Lytechinus pictus: one gene and its partner. Each later gene encodes a partner of the first gene's protein in a complex. Links are inferred from orthologs where the notes say so. Each region holds a gene or a part of one and is shown in the gene's direction. Other genes may lie near its edges.

Region 1 (11,173 bases):
TCTTTGAGTCCTACATCTCAGTTGCCTGACCCTACTGTTTCTTATATAGGATTCTGCCGACATCCTTCGGCTTAGGGATCAGGTGTGATAGTCTTTCATTCTTTTCCAGTTTCTGTGCAAAGGAAAGACATAATTAAATCCTTTCTTCAATCAGCTAAAAACTTTAAGTAAAGTGTTTCAAGTGCAGAGTCACGCATATATGATGTGAAGCGAGGACCTAGAATAATTCTTACAGTTCTCCTCATTCGTCCGCCGTTTTTATTTCAGCTACGCCTATATAGCGTCTTTCTCAATCACAAGAAATCAAACCTCTCGTTTTAATTTCATGTGAATTGTTTTTCCTCTTCTCTCGCAGCAAGGAGTACGTGGTGTCCAAGCGTTTTTACGGGACTACGTCAGGCGGAACGATCCTCCTCTGAAACCGAGCTTACAAGGACCCAACGACACACAGAGTACGGTCATGTTCGATGATCTTCATAGATGATGCCTTGGTGTAACCGGTCCAAACGTTGATAGGCAGATATAAACAGAGTGTAAGGGGTCAATTGTCTCGAAAATTGTTTTTAAGGAATAAGATGAATAACAAAAGCTTTTTTGAAGAAAAAAATGCATGGGACGAATCATTATTTATGGACGTCTTCATGTTTCTGGAAATTTTTCGATTTACCACTCGAGTTTTGAGGAAAGTAGATTAGGGAACAGCGGATCTAGGATCGGGCACTCGGGGCACATTGACAAGGGGTCATTTCTTTCTTCTAAAATTCTGCGACAAGCTCTAAGGAAAATATGTCATAACCCCAATTACACCCGCCTGGCCCGGGTGTCAGAAGGGCCCTTTTCCCCACCCTCTTCTATTACCCTTTTCTGACCCATGATGACTAATCTACTTGGATTATAAAGATTTTTTCCACGAGACTGCATGTTTTTTCTAGGTGGATTCGCTATTTAAAGGTCAAACAAGATAGCAGGGCTCCCTTGTAAAGCAGGCCTCTAGCTGGCTTGAATGGGACTAGCCTGTTTTTTTTATAAAGAAAACATGAATTAATAAATGATGAATAAAGACAAAAGTCAGACGGGTGTACTGAAAATTTCATTAAAATCTGATGTAAAGTAAGAAGGTTATAAACGCATCACTGATATGCGAACAAGCGAGTCCATGACATTAATACTGGTTATTCTGCACAATTTAAAACCGAGACAAAACAGCGCCACTATACTACATTGTATGATATAGCACCACCTCAAGCTTCAACTGCTCAACTTTGACCGGGTTCCTGACCCATAATCCCACATTCTAAGCAGTGGAGCCGTATAATCTAGGCCCACTGGGCCACTTGGTCAACTCAAGAATAAATGACACAATTAAAGTATTAAAAAAATACATTTTTTATAAAATTAAATTTAAAAGTTATTATTCTGTGTGATAGTAATGTCTCGTTTTTTATTTTGCATTATTTTCAACATTCGATTTTTTTAATAGTTCAATTTCATACTTGTAAAATTTTATTTCTATGATCAAATCAACTTATTGATGGGGCATGTTGGACATTAAAGAAATAGTTGAAGTAAAATGTTTTATTTGTAAAAGCTGTTATTGCTTGATTGTAACATACATGTCATGATCTCTTAATACTATCATTACAATCATGATAAGTCATTTCATTTTCCCAACTATAACAATCTTTTTGCCAATATATTTTTGTGATATCATGATTTTACTTATTTCATATTATTGCTGAATGCTTTGAAATAGTTGCATGTATGATTAATATTAATTGTTTGCATGAATTAAGACATTAAATTGTATGCATTATTTATCGAGATAGAGAGAGTGTGATCTCGTTATGTGGATAGTAGGTTTCGCCTTAAAATAAAAGTGTATGTTTGTATAAATTGTTATTATCCTGATTAAATCAGCTTTTTTAAACCGATTTTAGTGAAAGGAGTATGAAATTATGCTTATTCACGGTGAGTAAAGAAATGAAAAGAGGGGAGCTGGACAAGACGAGAAGGAAGAAACGAACAAACAGTTTTTTTAAAAAGTAGAAAGGGTGGAAGGAAGGAAGGAAGGAAGGGAGGAAGGAAAAAAATAAGAAAAAGAACAAGAAAGAATGACAAAATAAAATGAATCATAGAAAGAAAGAAAGAAAGAAAGAAAGAAAGAAAGAAAGAAAGAAAGAAAGAAAGAAAGAAAGAAAGAAAGAAAGAAAGAAAGAAAGAAAGAAGGAAGGAAGGAAGGAAGGAAGGAAGGAAAGAAAGAAAGAAAGAAAGAAAGAAAGAAAGAAAGAAAGAAAGAAAGAAAGAAAGAAAGAAAGAAAGAAAGAAAGAAAGAAAGAAAGAAGGAAAGAAAGAAAGAAGACAGAAAGGAAAAAAGACAGAGAGAAAAGGCAAAGAAAGAAAACAAAGGAAGGAAAAAAAGAAAGAAAAGGGAATGAAAAGAAATGAGGGAATAATGTAACAAATGAATCGGTAAGGCATGTGAAGAGAGATAGAGAGAGTGGTTTAATGTTGAGGTATTCCACTTGGTGCTTACAATTTTCCCCATAATTTTAAAAGAGGGGATAAGGTGCAGAGAGAGCTAGAGGGGTTTGAATAGGTTGGGAATTCATTTTTTCAATTTGTAAATTCTTAGGATATTATCAGGAAAGGTTTATCTCCCGGCCCTCTCCCCGGCCCCTACCACCCCCCTCTCTCTATAATGCCCTCTCCCCCCCCCCCTCTCTCTCTCTCTCACTCTCTCTGACAGCATATAGTTGATTTTTTTTTCCTGCATTTGATTTGTTTTGTTATATTTCTCCTTTTGTTTTGGTTTCGTTTAATTTGTCACTCTGTTTATTGTTAGAAATGTTAATTTATCATTGTAAATTACTTGATGTTCGATACTAATTTGTAAAAAAAAATTGTGCATTTCATTTTTATTGTAATCCTTTATGTTTGGATTTGAAATCAATAAAAATAAACTTGAAACTTGAAACTCTCTCTATCTCTCTCTATAACACGCAAACACATTCTTTTTTACTATCATTTATCTCTCCCGGCATCTCGTTTCTCCATTTCTACTTTCAATTTCAAGCTTGGTTGTGGCAATCATTTATGTATCATTTCATATTTTGTTATTATAGTACCAAAAAAAATATAGAAAGATCGTGGCAAACTATTTATAGTTAAATCATGTATTTTCAGATATTGTTGACCTTGTGGGGTTTTTTTTTACGATAAGCCTATGTTTTGCATAGACATTATTAAAATGTCCTGTGTAAAATTGTACATCAGGGGGGATAAAACCGAATAAAATTGAGAAATAACTCATTTAGGGTTGTTTTGTAAAATGTGTGGTCAAGCTCGAATGAGGAGATTTATGTTTCATTGTTTTAATTATTGAATGGCCCCTTCTTGATTTTTATAATTCCATTCATTCAAATAAACTCGAACTCCGATTTGTGAAGAGAATGGCACACATTTCATTTAGCTTTGAACAGGACACCGGGCAGGACACCTTTCGTCAAACTTTCGTTGCCAATTAATGAACACACGAATATGATTCAAATCAATCCTATCTTTTAATACATCAATCCTATTTTTTTATTCCTCATCGTAGGATGAAGCAATGGAGAATAGGCATGTGCCACTTTCATTTATACTGTCAATTCGCAGGATCCCCAAGACACAAAATGATATTTAAAAAATGATGCCCCTATGATTTATCACGGTATCTTGCAGGCCAGAGGTGGGACTAGCTAGGGACCTAAATGTGCAGCGGCGTAACAGGGGTCGGTGGCCAGGGGGGGCAAGAGCCAAAAATTTCCCGGTCATATCATGGTATGAACAGGCGTAATGGTGTAATGAGGCGACACATTGAGAAGGCCAGATATTGCGTATCGGGCTGAATTTATCTTTAAAAAAAGTTTCAAGCGAGCGAAGCGAGCGAGCAAAAATTTTGACCTTTTTAATTGAAAAATTAAAATGTTGTGCTAGATTTTTGACATGATATCCAAAAAATAATATATTTCACTCTTCTCTCTTTAGATTCCTTTTTTTGTGGTCTGTACGCCACTGTGAACAGGATTCTTTGCGGCAGTAGCGTGAAGAGTAAAAAAAAAAAAAAAACGAGGGGCGCAGTATAGCACATGTTCTAAAAAGCTGCTCTATATAAGTCCAGAGCGAGCGAAGCGAGCGAGAAAAAAATCACCTTTTCATGAGAATCTAACTTTGAGCTATTTTTTGACATTATATTCAGTAAATAAAATCATATCCTACACTTTTCCTTTGCTTTTCTTTCCTCCTTTTTTTTCTTGTCTGTAGAACTTTTTGGGGCCATGGCCCAACCCTTCCATACGCAGTGCTGTGCGGTTGGGGTCCGGGGCGGAGCCCCCGGAACTTCTTGATATCAAAGCCATCATAAAACATGTAAAACTTCAAAGATTGCCGCTATTTTAATCAAAATCGCGGGCATATACAGAATATAGCTCTTACACAACACATTTATTTAACCCAGTTGCGTAATCACCAAATATTTGGGGGGGGCAAAACATAGCAATTTTGGAAAAGTTTGTAAAAAGTCGCCAGTGTGCAAAGCGAGCTGGAAAAATATTGCCTATTGAAATTAAATTCTAATTATGTGATAGATTTTTTCATTATATTCAGCAAATAACACATTTCATTGGTTCCGTTCATTTCATTATATGTTGTCTCCTTTAATTTCTTTTATTTCCTCTTGGGTGTGGAACCAAGACCCCCCCCCCCCCCTCCGCGCCTGTATGCCAGTGATTGAACGGGGGGCGTTATAGAGCCATTTGAAGGTTTTAAATGAAGAACCCCTACTGCATGGGGTCTGGGGCAAAGCACCGGTAGCTCATTTGCATAAAATTTAGCAACGTGATAGCACAATGTTGTATGCAGCCCGTCTTTCTTCCCGTTCTTTAATTTCAATCATCGGCAGCCCGGTCGTATTATTATTTATTTTTCTTGTCCCTTTCCTTTGTTTTCCAATTTAGCTTTTGGCGAATTACATTCTACCTTCGTTTCCCGCTATTGTTTGCCATTTTTTATCTTTTAATTTATTTCCCACCGTGTTATTGCATTACATAGGCCTTAATGTTCTTCTTTCCTACATTTTCCCGCTTTCCTTCCTTTTCCATTAAAAAAATGGGATTTCTTCGTTTTCTTTTCCCTTTCCTTTTCCCCTTTCCTTTCCCTTCCCCTTTCTTTCTCCCTCCTTTTTTCTTTTTCCCGTTTTTCTTTTCTTTTCCCGGTGAAATCCGCCAGGGGGGGCAACTTGCCCCCCATGCCCCCCCGCCTGTTACGCCACTGTTAAAATGTGGTGACGAATTCCTTTTCCCAATTGAAATAAGGCAGGGTGCTACGTAAGCACTTGCCCGTGGCAAGTAAAAGTTAGAGTCGGGCAAGTGTTTTGAAGTAAAGACCAAAACTACTTGCCAAAATTGGGCAAGTAGAATTCTCACAGTAGAATGGCCAAAATTACGGTCGATGTCAATAACAAGGTACTAGATCAGGTCAAAAGAGAGAAAAAGGTCAATGGTTCATAAAGCCGCAATACTTTCTTTTGAAGGGGTGAAACTTTTTTTTTTCAATGATTTTTTTCGGGCAAGTGAAATAAATTTTTTGCAAGTATATTTGAACCATTCAAAAATGTACTTGCCCGACTGGGCAAGTGCTTCTAAAAAGTTATTTAGCACCCTGATTAAGGGTAATACAGAGTTAAAATCGAACCAGAGATCTCTATTGATACTCTTCTTTTTTTTTTTCACAATTAGATGGTCATTTTCGCGGGTTTTTTTTCATGGTCACTAAAAAGAGTGGGGGCTGAAGCCCCCCTCCCCCCCCCCCCCCCCCCACAGTTCCGCGGTCAGTACCCTGTTGCCCACCCCTCCGAGGATCAAGAGATTGCCTTTATTAGTCGCTTGGTCGCATGCATTATGCATACGGATATGATCGGTACAACGCATAGAGATGTATACTAATAACGTAATTAGTATACATCTCTATGGTACAACGTCGTATTCATGAGCTTATTAGTCGCCACCTTTAGCAGCGGGAGCCATCGCAATCAATGATCACACAAACCGAAATCACTTTGCAAAGGGCGATCCAGTTTCTTACAGGATAGAGGTAAGAAAAAAATAATTATTTGTTTCATTGTCTTTCAGATTTAGATGCATCCCAGATTCCTTCATTTTAATTTGTCAAATGTACCAAACTATTTATTGTTTATGACATTTTGTAGCTCAAAATATGAAACTGATTTGAGTGATTAAGAATTCGCAAAATATACAGTCCCACACCCTGTAAATGATGTCGGGCCAGAATCACACAAATTCAATGCAATTGCGAGAGCGCTGCGCGAAGTCTAGACCAAAAGCTTCGGTCTATGTTATGTTGGTTGTTCCGCTGAACTCCATTGGCTCCACTCACCAAATACAGACACCGAAGTTCTAGTGCGACATGTACAGGGACTCAATGGCCGTTAAGTTCGGATAAAAGTTTAAAACGGGAAGTGAAGTTGCGCGACAGCCGAAGTAAGTCACTGTTTTTCCCCCTTTTAAGTTTATTTTTCCCCGTTTTGGTGCATTTCAGGCTAAAACGGAATAATAATCTTAATTTTGGTACAGTTCTTTTTATGTATTTGTATGAAATAAAAATAGATAAGACCCGTCGGGGGGATTTTGCATTGTAAACCCCCTAATGGTGGCTGCACGATAGCGAGCCGTCTGTGTACGAGGAGAAATTAAAAAAAATTAAAATGTTAAAAAACTCGAAACAGATGGCTGCCAGCTGTCTACGCCAAGTCATACAGAGTTAAGTCTAGCTTTGGGATCAAATTGGTGAATTTTTTTATTATACCCAGTCAATATATAATCTGCCTGACTAGAACTCTAAAATAGAATCGTGAAATTGTGAATATTTCAGTTCCCAAAATTACCAACTGTTCCGTTTGATTTGATGGAGGAGTATTTGAACATTTTTTATTTCACTTGTTTGATTTCTCATCCTACACAGATGGCTAGCCATCTAGCAGTCAGTATGAGCCCCATAGTAGGCTCAGTGTATTATTCCCCTCAAAATGGTGGTTTGAATTTTTTATTATTCTTATGAAAATTATAATGTTTTAACATGACACCGAGTCTGAGGTTGTGATGATTACTAGATTTTCATTATTTTAAAACTTCAATCATTCATAGACCTAAATTTTGATTGAGATGTTGAAATAAGGAAGAGCAGTTGAAAAGGCACCTGTCCTGCAATGTCTCAAGCCAGACATGCCAGAGAGATCAAATGTTATCCCCTTTCTGTTTTCTTTCTTCTTTTTTAATACAATTTTATTTATTTTTTTTTTTTTTATTCCGTCTGTTGCCACTTATGGCCAGCAAGACAATTTACTAGTGAAATTTAGTCTATCATTGATGGTTCTGATGAAATACATCTCACTTGTAAACTGTCTTTAATTCTACTCGTTGAAATGTGAACTAGTATGCACAATTTTATGGAGAATTTTCCATCTAGCGATGTACACGCTGGTTCCAATTTTGAAGAATAGATAAGACAGTTCATGAGTCGGATTTAGTTCGTCAGTGATGATTCTGATGAAATGAATCAGTCAGCGCTGAATACAGTGTATGACTTCCTTGATAAACCTACCTGTCAATAAAAGTACCGGTAGCTATATTTTTGTAAATTGTACATCCCAAAACATCTAAGTCAAGGAGACAGTCAATTGCCCCCAACATCTCATAATTACATTTACAATCCTTCTCGTATCATTCTCTATTATACTTTGACAGTAATGCCGAGTTGCAATCCTCTACCTTAGAATTTGGATACCAAGATGACGAGCAAGTGGACACAGGATGTTCAGTGGTCCCCAGTGCATCCCGAGACATTCTTTTCTCTTTCTGTTGGAACCAACCAAGTCGAGTTCAATCAGTTTGCCGTAGAGCCACTCGCCAACTATGGTAAGACAATTACCATTATAAGGCAGTAGATCTCTGACTTTCCTGAAATGATTTGTCTCTTTATTCTAGTTCATATTGTAGGGTTTGTGAAATAAACATCTACTTGTATTGGGAGGTTTGATTTGTCGATGGGAAGAAATGATATCCGTTTAAATTCAACAGGAACATAACAGCAAATATAACAGGAACATACGGAGCCGAAGACGGTGAACAAAATAATCGATGAGAGTGACTGGGTGTATCTATCTCTGTATCTGCATCTTTATTAACAAAAATATCTTTCTTCTTATATCTTCCTGGCCCTACATGAAGTAGTATCCACAGTAACATTACATTATTTACATTAACCTAAAGCTAACCAATGAAATTCAAGAAAATAGGAGAACCCAAAGAAAATGTAGTTGCCCAATTCATAAAAATAAACAGTGAAAAAGGACTGACGTGATGATGGGTAAATGACAAGGGTGATTATGTAATGAAGAATGTTCAACAAAAGTACCAGATATGAGGATGGAATGAATGAGTACATCTGAATAGGAAAGGAATGAAGATGACTAGAGGAGTAGGATAGTGGCTGATGTGATGAATAATACCTCGGTCACATAAGCTCTACGGCGGCCGTACGGCGAGTCGAAAGCAGCCGTTTTATTAATTGTTATTCAAACCATCTATCATGTCTATATCATGTAGCAGGTACAAAAAATGTTGAAACGACTGTTTTTGACTCGCCGTACGGCGGCCGTAGAGCAAATGTGACCGTGGTATAAGAACACAAGTATCTATAGGTAGCTGACTGAAACACATACCAGACTGAACTAAATGAACTGAACAGATGTCAAACAAAAGCAAACCAAATGTACAATTAACCTTTCTACAGTGTGAAAAGTTCATATGAGAAAGCCCTCGCATTATCATGTCTTGGGCAATTCACAAGATAAAGTAAAAATAGAGAAATATGGGGGTCGAACCTACGAGAAGTTTGATTATTTCATAGTAATAGTAATTGTAATATAATCATTGTATTGTAAAGAAATTGACATCTTTTTTCAGATTGCACATTTAGAAATGATATCGCCTCCAAAATGTATTGAATACATGTATCCACTTTAGTTACAACTGGGCCCCGTCTTACAAAGAGTTACGATTGATCCAATCAATCGTAACTCTATGGAAATCCATCCATACCATAATTTTTTCTGCAGGAAATTTGCACACTCTCCTTAGGAAACAAAGAGAATCACACTGAATCTTCAAGAGAATGATGAATGTATGAATATACATCATATCAAGAAAATATTTTGAACAAATTTGCATGTTAGATCTTGACGTTGTTGGACGTCCATAGTTGTGGTTGAGCGGATCAATCGCAACTCTTTGTATGATGGGGCCCTGATGATACACATTATACATGTACTAATTGCAGTAAATAAATGATGCTCAAATCACCTGATACTTCTATTCTTTTGACAGGATCGTCTAAGCCGTCAGGTCGGCAGGTCTCCGAGACGGGATTTGCTCGCCTTCAGTTCTCCAAGTCGGATCTCTTTACAAACAACAAAGATGAAGTGCAAAGAATAAAAGTAAGGCTTCATTGATCTGATATTTTTAGATCACTTCCATCTTAGGTATCTATTTCCAACGCAAACAGACATGTCGTGGAGGTTTTTATTATTAAAAAAGATACCTCAACCAGTTATCCTCAACCAGTGGAAGAGCCGTGGTGTAGTAGTTCTGACTCTCGCCTTGCAAACAAGGGTCGTGTGTTTGAATCCCACCGCGATCTAGCATCCTTTGGCAAGGCGTTAATCCACACTTTTGCCACTCTCGACCCAGGTGCTAAATGGGTACCCGGTAGGATGCGAAAGATATTGTATGTTTGAATTTGCCAGCGCCCATAATGAGGCTGCGATGAATGCAAGGAATGCTCCCCGGGGAGTGAAAATTGTGCACTTTTCGTGCGGGATTGAAATGAATCCAATGACCGGGGTAATAATATGCTGTAAAGCGCTTTAAGCCATTCTGGGAAAAGCGCCATATAAATATTGGCTATTATTATACGCTGAGAGGTCAGTTTTGACATTTTGTGGCTCAGTCAAGTTGGTCATCATTGTCAAATCTGTAAAAATTGTATAATTCAAACCATAAAACAAAAGAATTCGTGAGTGAGGTACATCATGGACTCTGTCAATGAGTTGTGCATATAAGCGTTTTGCGAAAAATAAGCAAAACTTTAAAATGTCATAACTTCCTTATTTTACATCCGATGTGATGAAGTTTTTAGCGTTATGCCTGTTTGATTTATCTCTATTGATTCAAATCAATATTTTTTTGCTATCTAAATCCCAGAGATTCTTCCATTAGTACAAGTGGCTTTCTAACTATAAATACATGTACATCGAGCTTGGAGAGTGGAAATCATTTGATAAATCAACTTTGAATAACATTTAAGTTTGGATATTGAATGGGGGAAAAGTATTGTGGTAATTGCTAGAATCTAGAATTAATAAAAAAGAAATGAAACATAAGATAAATTATCACACAAACATTGATAATGTGATGATTCTAATTGTTATAGATGAGCCAAACTAACTTGAATATAAATTCTCCATATCCTTCTTCATATTCATTTTATTTATTTATTTATTTGTTTACTTACATACTTATTTATTTATTTATCTATTTATTTATTTAATGTATGTATATATTTATGTATGTATTTATTTATTCATTTATTTATTTATTTTCTATCTGATATTTGTGACACAAATCGCAAGATTGGTGGTCTTTCATGAGGCCCTGTTTTGGAAACAATAAAACATATAACATCAATGATGAACATGAAATAATAATAAATAAGACTTTAATACATTATTATTATTATTTGTTTGTCGTCACCTGTGCCTGGGAGGCGAAAAGCGAACTGAATCACTATGACCCTCAGGTCTCTCCCGATATAACTGATTGGGGAAGTGCAGGTGGACCACTACACCGTTGTTTCCCCCTACTCTTATACGAATAGTGCAGTGGGTTCTTAACGTGCAAAGGTGATGACTCTCCTCTACACGGGGCCTCCATTTAACGTCCTATCCGAGGGACGGTGTGTTTTCCATTGTAACATAGCCTGCATCTATGAAACATGGGAGAGACGTTTACACACAACGCACTGGCTTCAGTCATCCGCCCGGGGTGGACTCGAACCACGA
Region 2 (10,784 bases), on another chromosome or scaffold:
TTTTCTAGAAAATTTGTGTTTTTGATACTCTTAACGAGTCAACGCATGGACCGCATCCAAAATTGAAAAAACACCCCTTAAATGCGTTTTTTTGGTCATGCATAGAGGATTATGTATTATGCACACTGCATCATTGGTGTAAACGTTTGTTCTTTTATGTGCACAGGGACCGTGTTCATTGTTAGCTGCCATAGCACCTGAAGCTTCATAGCCCAGAGCAACAAATAGACAAGGTTCTTATTTATGAACACGGTCAACTCTCCAACATGCCTACCGTTAACTGCCCAATACCCGGCTGTGACTACGCCACACCAGACCTTGATGCTGCCATCGTAGCTGCCCTTCTCACTGCCCACAGTACCATTCACACCTGTGGACAAGCCGCCAAGGTCGAGATGGTCAAGAGACCAATGATTGCTGCTGCTGGCACCAGCGAGGAATGGGCATACTTAAGTCGCGGTGGTCCGACTACGTTGATGCCACTAAGATCACTGGGAAAGACAAGATTGTACAGCTTCTTGAGTGTTGTGACGAGCCCCTACGGAAGGACCTCACGCGAGCTGCTGGTGGCAGCCTCACCAACAAAACTGAGGATGAGGTGCTGACAGCCATCAAGAAGCTCGCTGTACGAGAGGAGAACACCATGGTTGCCCATGTGACACTCCACAACATGCGTCAAAGACAGGGACGAGACAGTTCGCAGCTTCGTTGCCCGTCTGCGGGGACAAGCAGATATTTGCAAATTCATCATAGCTTGCCCTGCCTGTAATGCTGATGTCAATAAGTCAATTACACTGACGCAATCATGCGGGATGTGCTTATCAGAGGGATTGCCGATTCTGAAATCCAGCTTGATCTTTTAAGGGACAAAAACCAAGACATGGGCCTGGAAGAGGTTTTCCAGTTCGTTGAAACAAAAGAGGCTGGTAAACGCTCTGCCTCCTCTCTCCTCGACTCACACTCGGAAACGGCCAGCAGCTCCTCCTGTAGGAAAGCTAAGCAGGCGAACCCAGGGCCCAAGTACAAACAGGAACTGTGTGCCTACTGTGGCAAGAAAGGGCATGGACGGAGTGCCCCAGCTTGTGTCCGCAAGACGCAGTCACCAGTGCCTGGCCTATGGACAGAAATGTGGTCACTACGACAAGTTCCACCACGTGGAGGACGTCTGCTGCACCAAGGGCAAGCCGAAAACGTCACAGTCGACCTCCTCGGGTGAGCAGGAGGGGGCCATCTTCGATACCCTTTGTACTATCCGTGACCTAGGACAACCACATGGCCTCCCAATTGATCACCACGTATATATATGATGACTTTTCCCAAGCATGGCACAAGAAGAGATCAACTCCTCAGCCATACTTCAACGTGACTGTAAGGGCTGTTCCGGAGGACTATCGAGCCCTCAGGTTTAACCTTTCATCCCCCTCACAAACCAGCGCCATCCCAGCCATGGCGGACACTGCGTGCCAGAGCTGCCTCGCCGGGTTAAAGGTCCTCCGCCGCCATGGGTTACGTCAGCAAGACCTTATTCATCTCACCATGGCGATGCACACCGCAACTGACGGCGGCATTACGATCCTCGGAGCCGTCCCCCTACGCCTCTCTGGCCAAGATCCTCTTGGCCACATGGTCAAGTCACGGCAACTCACTTACATCACAGACAGTTCTGATAAGCTCTTCCTCAGCAAAGAGGCCTGCATTGACTTGGGGATCATCTCAAACAGCTTCCCTACTCTTGGCATGACACAAGGGGCACACCAACCAGACAGAGCAGCCACCCTCAAGGGGCTCCCGAGCGGACCGCCTGTCCCTGCCCTCGGCGTCAACTGCCCCCATCGCCTCCTACAAAACTGCCATTTCCTGCGACTGACGCAAACCATGAGAAGCTACAACAGTATCTCCTAGATTACTACCAGTCCAGCACATTCAACACCTGTGAGCATCAGCCCTTGCCACTCATGGATAGCCCCCCCGATGAAATTGATGGTGGACCCAGATGCGGAACCCGTCGCTCATCACACACCTGTGCGGGTCCCACTCCATTGGCATGATGCCGTCAAGGCTGGTTTGGATCATGACGTGCAGTTGGGCGTGCTGGAACCTGTACCCATTGGGGAGCTTGTTACATGATGCCACAGGATGGTGGTCCGTGCTAAAAAGGACGGTAAACCGCGTCGAACAGTCGACTTTCAAGCCCTCAACATCCATGCTACACGTGAAACGCACCATACACCATCACCCTTCATTCAGGCCTGTTCTGTCCCCCACGGGAAAAAGAAGACGGTATTAGATGCATGGAATGGTTACCACAGCGTCCCCATATGCCCAGAGGACCGACACCTCACCATTTTCATTACCCCATGGGGCAGGTACAGTTACAAGACAGCCCCTCAGGGCTACATTACCTCAGGAGATGGATACACCAGGCGGTATGATGAAATCGTCTCGGATATCCAAAATAAGACGAAATGCGTCGACGGACGACGTCCTCCTGTGGGCTGACACGATGGAAGACAGTTTCTTCCAGGCTGTTGAATGGCTGTCCAGACATCTGCGGCCAAAAAAGGGATTACCCTCAATCCTAGGAAGTTCACGTTCTGTGCGGATATCGTCGAATTCGCTGGCTTTGAGATCACCCCTGACAGCGTTCGCACATGTGAGAAGTACTTACAAGCTATCCTTGACTAAAAAAATATTCCTCTGATTCTTGGAATATTTTCCCAAACTCTTAGAATACCGGTATTTCTGGTATTTTCTGAGCCATCCAATATGATATAGATATTTATAATGATAATAATAATCCGTTTTTTATATAGCGCTTAATACATCGGAACGACGTGTCTAAGCGCTTTACAGATATATTATTACCCCGGTCATCAGATTCAATCAGTCATTTATGCTATTTGGCCTGCGACCGATCGCATGCAATGTTTTGAAATCGGCCGTGAATAATACGTGTGAGGAATTATATACTGGCCCAAAATCACCAATTTTGAGGATAACCGGAGGATGGACACGGAGTGAAATGAGGGTGTAGAGTAAGAAATTAAGCTATTTTTTTTCTATAATTTTTACAATAAACCACTTTTTGATCCCACCTTTGTCACTCGGAATATCCGATCGAGTTCACGGTCCCAAAGTTCGGGTAGGTGGAGCGTAGTGTAGCAGTAGTGAAGTGGAGCCTGCACAAACTTTGCCCGAGGTAGGGGGGAGATAGAGGATTATGTATTATGCACACTGCATCATTGGTGTAATCGTTTGTTCTTTTATGTGCACAGGGATCATGTTCATTGTTAGCTGCCATAGCACCTGAAGCTTCATAGCCCAGAGCAACAAATAGACAAGGGGCCTGTTGCATGAAAGGGTCTTTCGTAGAACCGTTCTACGTAAGAACGAGTTATCGCTCAACTGTTTCACAAAGCCGATTTGGGCGATACCAAGAATGGTCCTTGGAAAGACACCTCCAGAGACCAGACATGTCCTACGTAGACATGATCTTCTTTGCACACCGCCCGCCACCGTCGGCATTGAGAGAAAATGCGTTTACGGCAAGCCACACTGACATATCACATTTTTTGGGGTGTCATTCGATTGCAATCTGATGCATTTTATCTGGGATGGCGCCAACTTATTTTTTTATATGGGGGCTAGTTGTCATCAATTTCAGGTTGTCTTTTTGCATGGCAAGACGACCAAAAACGGATGTCATTTTAACTTATCCAGGGTATGTCCGGGGGTAATGTAGGCCCAAATATTTTTTTTAACATGTTTTCTTTTATTATTCGTCTTATCCCCACCCCTTTTCCATTAAAAAAAAACTTGAAATATCGAAATGGGCTGCACTATCTCTCTGACCCCTCATGCTTTCTCATTTAGTCCATTATATAAACAACCAGGGGTGTGAGTGGTCACAAATAAAAAGATCTGAAAAAAGCTGAAGAGTGTTGAAAAAGTCTGAAATAGAAAGAGCTCCCATACTTTTTGTACAGAGGAAGGCCAAAAATAAGCTGAAATTAAGCTGAAAATCAAAACAAAAAAAATCTGAAATGAGATAAAAATCTGAACTCTCACACCCCTGTAAACAACATAAAAACAATTTAAAAAAATAAAATTATGTATGCTAAAAAACGTGTTTATAACGGTTCAGCAATAAAAAACACAATACAAAACTAAGATGTTAAACATGCTAAATCATTTATTTATTTTTATTTAATTTTCATTATAATTATTATTTTTTTGGCTGAGATTAATTTTAATCAATGAAAATTAATTGTTGGATTTGGGCTAGCATGAGATGTGAAACAGGAAACAAAACAAAAATTCTGCAGTAACAAAATAGCTAATTGAATTTAAGATACAGATTAGGCTCATATAGCTTAAGAATCCATCACAATCATTACAAATGAAGATGAATTCATTGTACCTATAAAAGAAAAGATTATGGAAAGTCCATACCTAGAGGCGCATATTAAATAGTAGGGTAAGCCCTATCGGCCCCTATGTCATAATGTAGTCTCTACTCCTTAACTTTGAAATGTTGAACATATATATTTTTCATATTCTTAAACCTTATATTCTTATATAAACTTCCATAAAGTGATCAACTTTAATATGACCAACGTTTATGATCGTTGTAATTTTTAGCATTATTTCTGTAAATAGCATTTTTTCCATTGCGGATTGATTCACACATTTTTCTATGTTTTAATTATTATTGCAAAGCACTACTTTATCCACTTGGACATGTTTGCAGCAATTTTCATATTTTCCTTGTCTTCGGTTACTCATCATGCAACTGATGAGGTATGTGTACTCTAAACACTCACATTTGTATTTCTTGCGTTATATCTGACAAATAAAATAAATAAATTAGATTTTTCACACGCAGCCTCTCACATTTCTTTTTTAGTCTCATACAATCAGACATGTTGATTTTGTTTAATCCATTCAAACCCTATTTTTATCTCAACAAATAACATTTAACGCATGATTTGCAAAATTATCATTATAACTAAGTATTCAATAAAAATTCAGAATGTTGAACTAATACAATGTCGAAATTACTTAGTTAAATCAATTTTTATGTTGGACAAGGGTCTATTTCGTTGCAATATCAATGAAAGGTGTCTCTAAAAGGACATCATGTTCTAAATAAGGGAAATAATGAAAATTTCGATTTTATCCAGTTTTGTTTGTGAATCTTTAAAGTTTTTGTATCTTTTTACCTCATAAAGTAAGCTCCATAGTATACATCAATTCTACAATCAGTAATAAATAAAACATTATTTGATCTCCTTTTATTGAAATTTATGATTTTATGAAAAGTTGTCATTCCGAAATGAAACTAAAAGGTTCAGGTGACGATGAAGACTAAATATTTTTTCCGATACTATCGATATCAAACGATGTCGCGGACTTGGAAGACTAAATTGCCTTCGTGAAACGGAAACCGCTGATTTGTCGCCAATCTTCCTATCTCGGAAGAATGGTCCTAGGACGTTCCTACGTATCGCTCATGTCGTACTCGTCATGCAACAGGCCCAAGGTTCTTATTAATGCATATGGTTGGAACTACCCCTTAACTCCCACCTAATCTTCTAAGCATCTGCGAAAATATTCATCAATTTTACCCAGTTTTCGTCTCATTTGTGCAGAAAATTGAGCAGATCAGATTCCCATATTTCGCTCGGCGACTCCGATTCAATCCTCGTATATATCGACAAAAAACGAATACGACGATTTTACATTTGCTCATTTGCACCCGTCTTTTGAAACCGACCACCCGCGATACACTAAGTTTACGGCCGATTCTTGTCGCGGTGGCGAAATATTTTTACTCTTCCAAATCATTTCTATGATCATGATGTCAACATGCTAAATGATCGTCTCACTACTTCCAGTGCGAGCTCCGGCACATGATTTGATGATTGACGACGGGTATTTGTTCTAAAGCCGTTTCCTATCGGATTTCTTGGTTTTTCAGCGGGGTTTGGGTTTGGTCAATACAATTTTGATTAATTCTACTAAATTTTTACTTTTTGTTGCTTCTTTTTTTCTCGTAAAATCGATTCATACCGTTTCTATGGACACTGCGCCTACCCTCCCGCGCGTATCGTTTGTAATACGCAATAATTTTAACGCGCGCAAGGTGGTCGGTTTCAAAAGAGGTGGTCGCGATATGTGGTATTGGTAGTCTCACCATACTGTGTACAGCAATATATTTGACCCCCCCCCCCCCCCCCGCCCCCGGGAAAGATGAAAGTTACAAGAAAATTTAAGCCTTATAAGGAAAGATACAAGAAATTCTCAGAATACAGATTTTTTGGCCTTATCCTGAAATAAGTCACCTCTCTACTCGTGTACGTGTGTGTGCTCGCAGCACAGAAGGGTGATATATTCAACTTTCTAACATTCAAGAGACCATTTTGTATCACCAATGCGTGTGATTTTTGATGCACGAAAAGAAGCGAGAAATAACACATTTCTGTGATAATTGTATCCAAAGCACACATTAGCTAAATCGCGGGCCGCCTGCTTGAAGCGCAGCCGTTCATATTCGCACTTCGATCTTCTCAGGATCAGGAGGAGGAGTGAGACTTTGGGTAGCCAAGTTGCTCATTTCAGAATTTACGGTAAATACGAACTTTTCATTCCACCTTAGCCTTAACCTTAGCATTAACTGTCTTACCTTAAAAATCTGGTTTATCCTACAATCAGCCGAGCTCGAGGGACATGCAGTTTGAAACTCTGTCCTAACATCATCCTTTCTTGCGCTATGCTGCTGCGCTGCATGACCGGCCGAACGCACGGGCACGCCCCCTGCCGCCCGGCCCGGCTGGCTTGGTGACGTGAACACTACCACCGGGCCAGGCTCCAGAGCTAGGCGCTAGCCGGCCAGCCAGCCATGGCATGGGCGCGGGCAGGGCATGCATCGTGATCTATGTCCTATGAGTATGACATAGAAAATTGCATGGGCACACATTGAATAGGAAGGGTTTCCTGGCTGGAATAGATGTGGATTCTTCTCATTACGTGAGAACAAACCGACATGCTATGCCATGCCCATGGCCATGCCATGGCCACATAAGCTGAATTGTCAATTCGAAATCCGTCTCTTTACTTTAGACTTTATCGAGTGGAGCCTACAGAGTCAGAGTTTACTTCAGTGCCCAGGGACAGGGTTCAGCGGCAATAAGTACAGAGACTGAAGTCACTGAAGCCCAAATCATCCGAGACTGTCGACTGGGTATTTTATATAAATTTAGATATCTACCAAATTGATGGCAAGATCAAATGTATAGTAAGACTAAGACTAAGAGTTCAAAATTGATTGAGGAAAATGTGAAATACTAGGTCAAGGCGTTTCGCTGTCTATCGCAGTCTCAATATGCAAGTCGAAGAGTGTGAGCAGTATACCCAGTTGTTGTGTGTCCGGACGATCAATTTTAGAAAGTCATTTGGAAAAAATTACAAGCGAAGTTTCATCAATTTTTAGTACAAAACGTTAGGAAATATTATAAAGAACAAAACAGAATATGATTACAAGTATTGAATTCATATTTTTAGTGTAATCCACAGACAAAAAAGAAGGCTTCAAAAAGATAAAGTGTCCGGACACCCGACCCCCCAGCCTACTGGAAATGGTTGTTAAAAAAGCATGACATTAATTTTGTATGCTTTGGAGGTCTATAGAAACAAAAGACAAGCACAGGACAACAAATTTTGGTTAGTAACACATTTTACTCATAGTACTTTTTATAGACTATATAGGCCTTGATAGATCTGGCTCTCGGGCCTAGTAGCCTAGATCTATCTGCTCTGAAAAAAAAAAAGAATTATCGGAAAGGTGACAAATTTCAAATTTACTCGTATTATGTCAATATTTTTGTAGGAATTAAAACTAAACACCTACTTGAGAATAAAAAAATCAGTTTTAAAACAGCATAACTCAGGAACTTAACAATAACAGCAAACAACATATCAGGAACAGAAGACAGAGAATAACTAAACAAAGAGACTGGATCTGTAGTGTTGTATCTGTGTCTGTTCATGTATTAAAATACTCTATTTATACCTTTGGCCTTCCTCGGCCCACATCAAAATTGTTGCTACAGTAACAACATTGTTTAAATCATTATAAAAAACTAACCAATGAAATTAAAGAAAATAGAAGAACCCAACTGAAATGTAGTAATCCAATTCATTGTATAAACCAATGTACAATAAGATGAAGGTGATAAAAGATGTCTTGGTGATTATGTAATAATGGCATTAGAAACTAAGGAGTCAGGTGGGGGATTGAATGAGTGGAACACCTGAATAGAGAAGGACAAAAGAGAATCGGAGGAAAAGAATCCAATGTGGAGATCGGAGGATGAATGAAAACTGAATATAATTAATATACAAATAATGAATGTTTATGAGTGCAATGGACAGAATACTTCATGAGGTGAAAGATGAAATGATCGCTGAGTTGAATGGATCATTCATTTCATCTTTAACCGAATGAAGTATTCTTTCCATTGCACGATTGAAAAAAAAAATCATTATTTGGTTTATATGAAACCTAAAAATTTACCTTTTTTCATATGAAATTTATGAATTTCGATGCAAGAGTTCGGTCTGCTGATTGTTACATCATTACAACATGTGCACTGGAAACACAAGTAGTACGTCCCTGCAGCCTGCAGTCTCTGTGCGCGCGTGTAATGGACAAAATCGTATGGATCCAAAATTGCATGGTTGATGACGTAATAGCAAAATGGGCTGAATGAATGATATCAAACAACCAATCAATTCACAAGGATCTATCTAGGTGTCATATAAACTCAAATAACCTAAGTTCAGACTGCAAGGGCAGTGCTGAAAAGAAATGCAAAAGAACACAAGTCTAGACAGAACAGAAATGAAGAAAACACAAGTTAAAGAAAATGAACAAAATAGGAAAATTACAAAATAACCATCCTACATTTTCATGAATAGGCCTACTTATTTCATCTAAAAGAATTGACGTTTCAAGGTATAACTTTAGGTTAGGGAGTCTATTTTTGTGTTAGTGTATGGTAGTGTCAGATTCACAAGCCTTAAATGTTTTTTTAGAAGTAGATACTTAGTAAATGAACATAGACGAGATATCACATATTACGTTTGGACACACTGTCATACTAACCTAAAATAGATGTGTCTGCGATAATGTAATAATTCCTTTCTTCTTTATTTTTTTCATTTACAGACTCAAAAGTATGGCAGCTTTACCTGCAGGTAAACTGAAATGCATCTTCTTCAGTGAATTTCACCCACAAGCTGGACCTAAAATCACGTATCAGGTAGATCTACTAAAAATTTTGATAAGATGTTCAAACTTTCAAGAAATTAGTAGAACTGGGCTATTTTTTTTAACTGTATGCTACTGCATTGTACACTCACCAAATGACAAACACAGTCAGGGAGTCCAGGGAGAAACATGACACTTTTCATCTTTCAGATATATAACCTTGTAGGCCTAACTCTTAATATTTGGACTGAACAAAATATCTTTGTTTGTTAACAGACTATAGATATACCATAGAGCTATTACAGAGCTCTATGGATATACTAAGGTAAATATTGCAGTAAATGTTGATTTCCCAAGATTTGACTCTCATAGATTTGGCAAACTTCTAAGTTTTGGGGCAAAAAGTGAGACCCTGGGGAGAAATGCGACACCCACACTGCATACTATCACAGAATATTATTCTTATATTATTGATTGCATATTAGTTAAGTCCCATTTCATATACAAAACATCTGAGATTGATGGCTGCATGTAGTTTTAATTAAGCTTTTCATCATGAAAAATAATATCAACTATAGTCATTTATTCACCAATTGGTTAGCCACTGTAAGAAAAAAAAACTCTAAATAGATGTTTAAAAAAAGTAAATCGGGGATTGTTTATCTGGCTTCCATGCAACATTTTACAGCAGTTGTTAGCATATTTTTGAAAGGGTGTTGGATGAAGCCTATTGAATGATTTAGGCCTATATGACATTCATATTTTCTTCTTATCTTCCTTTATCCTTCCATCTCTGTCTTCCCCTCCTCCTTCTTCAGATGTTTCCTAAATACATTCAGGTTGTGGTCAGTACAGAACTTTACAGAACTTGATGGATTATTTTTATAAACTAATGCATTTGGGTTTAGTGGAGAGGGAGAGTTATTTTCTGTTGTTTTGTTTCTAATCCATATATGTATGTAAAAAAAAAAAAAAAAAAAAAAAAAACCAGACAGGCCAAATAAGAGAGGTCTATAGACAGATTTATTCCATCTAGGCAAATTCCAACCTTGATGATAATGATGATGATTTTGTTGGTGGTTGTGGTTTAATATGATGATGATGATATTGAAGAATGATGATCGGTTTTACCTGATGATGAAGTTTCACAGAGTCTAAATTGCATTTTGCTGTGAAATACGTACATTGCCTTTCACCTGCAGGTTCCAGATGATTACTTTTCTAGGGAGCTTTTTGATATAGTCTCTGTCTACATCATCCCAAAGCCTGAATTACAAGACAAGCTCATCACCGTGTAAGTTTGCAGAGCTCTTGCAAATATTCAAAACAAAATTTAATTACCTGTATGAGTTGTGTTCTTATTTGTTGGAATGTCAAATGATATATGTGATATATTTCCCCAATTATGATAGATTTCACATGAGAAATTTATATTGTCACTTTTATTCCCAATTTATTTTATGCCATGATGACGATCCTTTCATGTCTTCGTGGTGTTGGGCTGCTCTTTTTT

Evidence for each region. The genes of interacting proteins can lie anywhere in the genome.
Region 2: GATOR2 complex protein MIOS-like (region 1) and GATOR1 complex protein NPRL2-like share a complex: the UniProt entries of both Drosophila melanogaster proteins name them as parts of the GATOR complex. The link is inferred for Lytechinus pictus from reciprocal best matches to the Drosophila melanogaster genes mio and Nprl2.

Annotation. Positions count from the first base shown.
Region 1 is NC_087257.1:8,781,805-8,792,977, forward strand, and holds the start of GATOR2 complex protein MIOS-like, read left to right. Parts: upstream 1-6,042; 5' UTR 6,043-6,129; intron 6,130-7,799; 5' UTR 7,800-7,843; coding exon 7,844-7,970; intron 7,971-9,440; coding exon 9,441-9,550; intron 9,551-11,173. Other genes in the region: uncharacterized protein LOC129274479, read left to right, coding at 356-484. UniProt on the Drosophila melanogaster protein: An essential component of the GATOR subcomplex GATOR2 which functions as an activator of the amino acid-sensing branch of the mTORC1 signaling pathway.
Region 2 is NC_087247.1:42,697,719-42,708,502, reverse strand, and holds the start of GATOR1 complex protein NPRL2-like, read left to right. Parts: upstream 1-6,537; 5' UTR 6,538-6,629; intron 6,630-6,851; exon of another isoform or gene 6,852-6,948; intron 6,949-7,122; exon of another isoform or gene 7,123-7,243; intron 7,244-7,563; exon of another isoform or gene 7,564-7,722; intron 7,723-9,229; 5' UTR 9,230-9,239; coding exon 9,240-9,323; intron 9,324-10,473; coding exon 10,474-10,565; intron 10,566-10,784. UniProt on the Drosophila melanogaster protein: An essential component of the GATOR subcomplex GATOR1 which functions as an inhibitor of the amino acid-sensing branch of the TORC1 signaling pathway.